2 linked regions of the Xenopus tropicalis genome follow. The protein of the gene in region 1 purifies or fractionates together with the protein of each later gene. This does not show direct contact. Links are inferred from orthologs where the notes say so. Each region holds a gene or a part of one and is shown on either strand. Other genes may lie near its edges.

Evidence for each region.
Region 2: the proteins of lmna (region 1) and parp1 purify together in Homo sapiens (affinity purification with western blotting; 3 studies listed by BioGRID, with this or other methods). This does not show direct contact. The link is inferred for Xenopus tropicalis from reciprocal best matches to the Homo sapiens genes LMNA and PARP1.

The regions. Positions count from the first base shown.
Region 1 is NC_030684.2:142,968,226-142,971,982, reverse strand, and holds the start of lmna (lamin), read left to right. Parts: upstream 1-1,648; 5' UTR 1,649-1,695; coding exon 1,696-2,039; intron 2,040-3,757.
Region 2 is NC_030681.2:8,009,355-8,013,011, reverse strand, and holds part of parp1 (poly [ADP-ribose] polymerase 1), read right to left. Parts: intron 3,601-3,657; coding exon 3,472-3,600; intron 3,372-3,471; coding exon 3,273-3,371; intron 2,892-3,272; coding exon 2,739-2,891; intron 2,277-2,738; coding exon 2,149-2,276; intron 1,922-2,148; coding exon 1,860-1,921; intron 879-1,859; coding exon 764-878; intron 1-763. UniProt on the Homo sapiens protein: Poly-ADP-ribosyltransferase that mediates poly-ADP-ribosylation of proteins and plays a key role in DNA repair.

The sequences.
Region 1 (3,757 bases):
TCCCTAGTAGCTGAACTGGTTCTTGTCTACACAGCACTGAATCATGATTATTTTGGTTTTATTTGGGGAGAGGGGGAGGAGCCTATCAGAGGGACAGTCAAAAACATCATCCACATTGGTGGTGGTGGGGTTAGCAAACCCGCTGAGGGTTCTGGGAGTTGCAGTTCAAGGCTTTGAATTGTTCCAATCTGCTGTGTTCAGGGGTAAGCGAACCCACTGAGGGTTCTGGGAGTTGCAGTTCAAGGCTTTCAATCGCTCCAATGTGCTGTGTTCAGGGGTAAGCGAACCCGCTGAGGGTTCTGGGAGTTGCAGTTCAAGGCTTTCAATCGCTCCAATGTGCTGTGTTCTGGGGTAAGCGAACCCGCTGAGGGTTCTGGGAGTTGCAGTTCAAGGCTTTCAATCGCTCCAATGTGCTGTGTTCTGGGGTAAGCGAACCCGCTGAGGGTTCTGGGAGTTGCAGTTCAAGGCTTTCAATCGCTCCAATGTGCTGTGTTCTGGGGTAAGCGAACCCGCTGAGGGTTCTGGGAGTTGCAGTTCAAGGCTTTCAATCGCTCCAATGTGCTGTGTTCAGGGGTAAGCGAACCCGCTGAGGGTTCTGGGAGTTGCAGTTCAAGGCTTTCAATCGCTCCAATGTGCTGTGTTCAGGGGTAAGCGAACCCGCTGAGGGTTCCTGGGAGTTGCAGTTCAAGGCTTTCAATCGCTCCAATGTGCTGTGTTCAGGGGTAAGCGAACCCGCTGAGGGTTCTGGGAGTTGCAGTTCAAGGCTTTCAATCGCTCCAATGTGCTGTGTTCTGGGGTAAGCGAACCCGCTGAGGGTTCTGGGAGTTGCGGTTCAAGGCTTTTAATTGTTCCAATCTGCTGTGTTTAGGGGTAAGCGAACCCGCTGAGGCTGATGGGATGTGTAGTTCTGTAATGGCTGGAAGTGGCTTGGGTCAGTGCTGGAGGGTTGCAGGGAGTTATATTGGTGACTGATATTGGCGAACCCGCTGAGGGTTCTGGGAGTTGCAGTTTAAGGCTTTCCATTGCTCCAATCTGCTGTGTTCTGGGGTAAGCAAACCCGCTGAGGGTTCTGGGAGTTGCAGTTCAAGGCTTTCAATCGCTCCAATGTGCTGGGTTCTGGGGTAAGCGAACCCGCTGAGGGTTCTGGGAGTTGCGGTTCAAGGCTTTCAATTGTTCCAATCTGCTGTGTTTAGGGGTAAGCGAACCCGCTGAGGCTGATGGGATGTGTAGTTCTGTAATGGCTGGAAGTGGCTTGGGTCAGTGCTGGAGGGTTGCAGGGAGTTATATTGGTGACTGATATTGGCGAACCAGCTGAGGGTTCTGGGAGTTGCAGTTCAAGGCTTTTAGTCGCTCCAATGTGCTGTGTTCAGGGGTAAGCGAACCCGCTGGGGCTGATGGGATGTGTAGTTCTGTAATGGCTTGGGTCAGAGCCGGAGGGTTGCAGGGAGTTATATTGACTGACAGCTCTGCTGTGTCCCCAGATGCCTCACGTCAAGCAGCCGGTTGGGGGGGGGGGGGGACAGGGCCATGATTTGAGTTTTCCTTTCCCTTTAGGCTCCTCCCCTGGCCCCGCCCAGGGGCTGGCAGTTGCGAGTGGATGTAACTGGGAGCCACTGGGCACAGCAGACTGTCAGAGGCGGAGAAGGAAAGCAGATCCCTGCGCACTGACAGCCCCCCGTGTATTCGCCAAGAGCCATGGAGACCCCCGGGCAGAAGCGGGCGACCCGCAGCACCCACACCCCACTCTCCCCCACCCGCATCACCCGCCTGCAGGAGAAGGAAGACCTGCAGGAACTCAACGACCGATTGGCCGTCTACATCGACAAGGTGCGCTCCTTGGAGTCGGAGAACGCCGGGCTGCGCCTGCGCATCACTGAGTCCGAAGAGGTGGTCAGTCGCGAGGTGTCGGGCATCAAGGGGGCCTACGAGGCGGAACTGGCGGACGCCCGCAAAACTCTCGACTCGGTGGCCAAGGAGAGGGCTCGCCTGCAGCTGGAGCTCAGCAAGATCCGCGAGGAGCACAAGGAGCTGAAAGCGAGGTAGGACCCGGGGGTGCCAGGACTGTGTGCCAGCGGGATGGGGTGGGGGTCGGTTACACTGGGCTCCTTGGCACCGGGATGGAAATGTGAGCCCAGCCCATAGGAGTCATAGGATGTGTAGGAATGCCCACGCCTGGGGCAAACCTGACTCATGCCAGGGCTACTGGGAGAGGATTGGTGTTATCAGACCTGCCTGTAGGGGGCGCCGCTTGTCTTCAGCAGCAGCGACTCCATTGCATCCCACAGGGTGTCTATTCCTTATTAGTCCCACCGGCCCTGCAGGGAGGCAGTTCCCTGTATCTACTCCCCTTACTTTATTAGTCCCACCACCCCTGCTGGGAGGTAGTTCCCTGTATCTATGCCCCTTACTGTATTAGTCCCACCACCCCTGCTGGGAGGCAGTTCCCTGTATCTACCCCCCTTACTGTATTAGTCCCACCACCCCTGCTGGGAGGCAGTTCCCTGTATCTACCCCCCTTACTGTATTAGTCCCACCGGCCCTGCTGGGAGGCAGTTCCCTGTATCTATGCCCCTTACTGTATCAGTCCCACCGGCCCTGCTGGGAGGCAGTTCCCTGTATCTATGCCCCTTTCTGTAAAGTAGCACTTCCCTATGTTCCCTTTCAGCCTCCCCCCCTATTCCTTTACTGTATCAGTCCCACCGGCCCTGCTGGGAGGCTGTTCCCTGTATCTATGCCCCTTACTGTATCAGTCCCACCGGCCCTACTGGGAGGCAGTTTCCTGTATCTATGCCCCTTACTGTATCAGTCCCACCGGCCCTGCTGGGAGGCAGTTCCCTGTATCTATGCCCCTTACTGTATTAGTCCCACCGCCACTGCTGGGAGGCTGTTCCCTGTATCTACTCCCCTTTCTGTAAAGTAGCACTTCCTTATGTTCCCCCCCAGTCCTTTACTGTCCCACCGGCCCTGCTGGGAGGCAGTTCCCTGTATCTACCCCAGTGGGTGTTTTTACATTGATGTATGAGCAGCGCGCGCCACGTGCCGAGTATCTCACACCAGTGAGCTCATTCCAATATAAATACTCCCCGTGCCGCGTGGTGTTGTCCCTACTGTGCTGGGAGTCTGTGCCGGGGAGTCACCGGCTAAAATAGGAAACAAAGTTATTTGTGCGGTGCCCACCCACCATTGGGAGACCCTGTGCCCCCACAACTCAGAGGGTAAGGGTGGCAGCTGTGCGTTTAGGGCTCTCTTTGGATTGGTTCATTGGTACCCGGGGCAGTTGCAGGTTCTATAAATGCCCCTTACCCTGACTCTGCCCCAAGTGGTGCCCCGGCATTGGTGCCACCGTATCTGTATATTCCATATGGGCATTGGTGCCACCGTATCTGTATATTCCATATGGGCATTGGTGCCACCGTATCTGTATATTCCATATGGGCATTGGTGCCACCGTATCTATATATTCCATATGGGCATTGGTGCCACCTTATCTATATATTCCATATGGGCATTGGTGCCACCGTATCTATATATTCCATATGGGCATTGGTGCCACCGTATCTATATATTCCATATGGGCATTGGTGCCACCGTATCTATATATTCCATATGGGCATTGGTGCCACCGTATCTATATATTCCATATGGGCATTGGTGCCACCGTATCTATACCATATGGGCATTGGTGCCACCGTATCTGTATATTCCATATGGGCATTGGTGCCACTAGAGTAGGGTGTGCCACTTTGTGCCCAGCCTG
Region 2 (3,657 bases), on another chromosome or scaffold:
GATATAAAAGGGCAATATTTACTGATATATATATATTCCAGTTTGGGGAGATTCTTTAATAGGCCACTTAACATAATATAAACTGAGGCTACAACTGATTTATCTCAAAAGAGGGAGTTCAAGTAAATTTCATTAAATTTGGGACCAATGGCTGGATAAGCATCCTCTTCCCAGTGTACAAAACGAGCAAGAGCATAAACTTACTCTTGTATTCTTGTGCATATATTAGCAATATACCCAAAATGGATAGATTGTACGCCATTTCGGTTCTTCTTTTCTTCTGGAAAGTTCTAACTGATGTTGTATTACTTACCTATTGTATATCTCAATCATTGTAACTAATTATTCACTCAATAAACTCTACCTGAATTAAAAAAAAAAGTTAACTCAAAAGGTGAGCTACCCCTTTAAGTGCCGCAGCTGTTCTAGAATCCTGCCTCCTTGTGGCAGAGGCTGTATCCAACCATTGCAGATTTGAAGTTACACAAAGACATGGAAGCTGCTATATTGTTTCTCTTAGTAAAGGTAGATCATATAAGATCACACCTTTTCAGTACTTTTGTATTTGCACATACAGGTGGGTACTGCCATACTGTTTCCCACAATCAGTATAGTATGAAGTTACAGCTTGTGTGTACAGAATATCCCTTGTGTGTGTACAAGCAGGACATTAGATTTAGCATTACCAGGGTAGTAGGGTAGAAAAGGTCTAACAAAGGTAAATATAAGGCAGAGGACGAGCTCAAACAGCAGAAAAGGATACTCGTTATATAACAGACTGGCGTCAGTGATATTTGTAGCACTTCCTTTCCCAAGAGGAACGTCCACTCCATCCAGTTTTACAGTAGCTGAGGGATCAGGCGCGGTTCTACCCAAACCTAAAGAAAAGAGGGAAATCTGTATCAGAATCTATTTGCCAGAACCAATCCCGTATGTAAAGTTCTTAGTTTGCTGGAGGTTTAAAGGGCAACTCCACCCAAAAAATGTCTTTGCACAATGAAAGCAACTCTCTCTCTAACTTTACAATATACATTCATTAATAGGTTTCAGTGGGCCCAATGTTATTTGTAAATGTAATTCCTACTGAAAGCAGTGTCTAACTAGTATACTAATTATATTCTCTGCAGTACTAGCACAAACCCCCAAGGGTGAAGACACACTGGGCTACTAGTAGCAGCTACTTTTTCATGGCTACTAAACTCCAGAAAATCCCCTGCCATAGACAATACTGAGAATTGCCTCTGCTAAGACACACGTAGAGACAATTATCAGTAAATGTCTTTTTTGTAGCCGTGACAAGTAGCTGCTACTAAGTAGCTCCATGTGTCTTCACCCTAAAACAATGTAGCAAAAGCTCAATGATTAATGAACAGACTGACCAGCCACATAGTAAATCTTGAAACAATCTATAAATTGATTAGTGTCAAAACCTTAAGAGTAATTGTATTTGTTTTTTTTGCAACTTTACATCTCTGTTCAGATCAGTGTAGCTGAGGTTTGTTTTTGTTTTTTTTATAACGGTAAATCTCCATTAATTCTGTGTAATAAACAATTACGGGCATTTTTCCCTCCAACCTCTATGAAGGTGATAATGACTGGTGAGCTTGCAGTTTCAGTCTCCCCCAGGTCTGCACTGTTCACTGGCTTACCTTTCCCCTACATGATAAGCAAATAAGCATTTTTTTTCTATTTAGGCACCCTATGGCCCTTAGGTACCTATATCATAAATATAGCCCTGCTTATAGCACCTACAGAGACACAATTTACAGCTATAACAGTATAGGTATTCCTTTGTACTAAACAGTTCAAGAGAATGGAACCTGATGGATATTTGTGCACTAAGACACAGGGCCACTTACCTTTGACACTGTGTTTGCCCTTGGGTAGTTTCGTAATGTGTGATGCTGCTCTCAGCTCATGCCTAATACAGACAAACGACAAGAAATCAAAAGTGAACATTGTGAAAGTACCCCGCAGGTGGTAGTTACCTAAACAGCTTTGTAGCTGCCCTTTACCAACCACTGCCTGGTTGCTAGGGTCAGTGACCCAGCCAGCTAACAGTTTAAACTTCCAGTCTAGAGTGGTGCAGAACAAATCACAAACATGGCATTTAATATATATGCTATGAAAATAATAGCTGTTACTTACATGTTACCAAGGGCCACCTCTCCCAGTAAGATCAGCCCAATGGGATTACCCGGCATTGCATTACAATAGTTGGCACTTTTGGATACCATATCGGCAAAATAGATACCTTTGCCAAACATATAGCCAGTCTGTGGGGAGAAAGGATCAGAACAATGTGAGTAAATCTGCATTAAGAAAATCAAACATCTGTGCATACATCTATTAACAGGTTACTGGCACAATTTACTAACACCTGATTGTAGAATGCAGTTTGTATACACAGGGCTGTATATTTCCTATAGACAACTCTTAACTACCCTTTTTTATATAATGAGCTTACAGCCCACACATGGTACAACACAGCCCAGAGGTTCAGCAGCCCTGTAACAGGCCTTCAAAATTGTTTGGAGGAGCTCCCCTGTCCTGGATCTTGTTAGGCCACCTTTTGTGTGTCAGTGGCACTGCACATGCTCAGTGGGCTGCTGCTGAGAGGCTAAGCTTAGGAGGGCGTGGCATATCGAAGTCATTAGCACTGGCTTCCTGATTAGATGCCCCCAGAGCACCATGCTCTTGACAGGATACATTAGAGTTGCCTCTAACCCAGTACTTACAACGGGAGCTTCCGGTGGAGCAATTCGGAGACCCTGAGACAATATCCCTGCAAAATTTGTGGTTCGGGATCCGTGCCAAAGCAGCTGGCGGTTGTGTAGCTGTTTGAATGGCTTATACCGCTGATATTCACCTTCACGCTCGATTTTGAATATCTTTGGGATGAAAGATAAGGAGAGAGACGAAAGGAAAATGTTCAGAAATAACCACATTCAACACAGTTAATGAAGCTTACATTTAAAGGGAAAGTAAACTCAAAGTTTTGCCTAATGAAAGAAAAGCTATTTCTAAGCAACTTCTTAATATATATTTATTGCACATTTTTACCGGTGTAAAAGTTGTGTGTAAATGCAATTGCTATTGAAAGCTGTATCCACGTCCCTTACTTTTTTCTGCACTGCTGGGTCTGACTAATGCCTGTGAAGCAGTATGCAAGGCATAGTGGGAAATGGAGTCTTAGCTGGAGGAAATATAACTTTGGCCGCACTGTTTCAAGAGTCAGAACCTGCAGTTAATAATATACAAAGTGGACTTACCTCGAGGACCTCAAGATCGTAGGCATTGTGCGTCTCGGCGTGCGTGTTCTTCACATAGTCACGTATTATTCTAGATTCTTCCGATTCTTTATCGACAACCTAGGGCAGAGGGAACATTTAGATATACAGCAGGACCGGGTGAGTACAATAAAGGAAAAAGTAATGGTTTGTGCATTTAAAACCCCAATTATTCGTTTACCTTAATGTCAGTCTTAATCTTTTCATATTTCACATCAATGGGATCTTTTTCTCCATCATCGGCGCCGCCTCTCAACAGGCTGTATGCAACTTCAATGTCAAGCAGATTATCCAGCATCTGCACTTTAGCCTGCCACACAGAATAGGGGACATTTAAGTACACGACAGGCTATTTAGTACAAGCTGC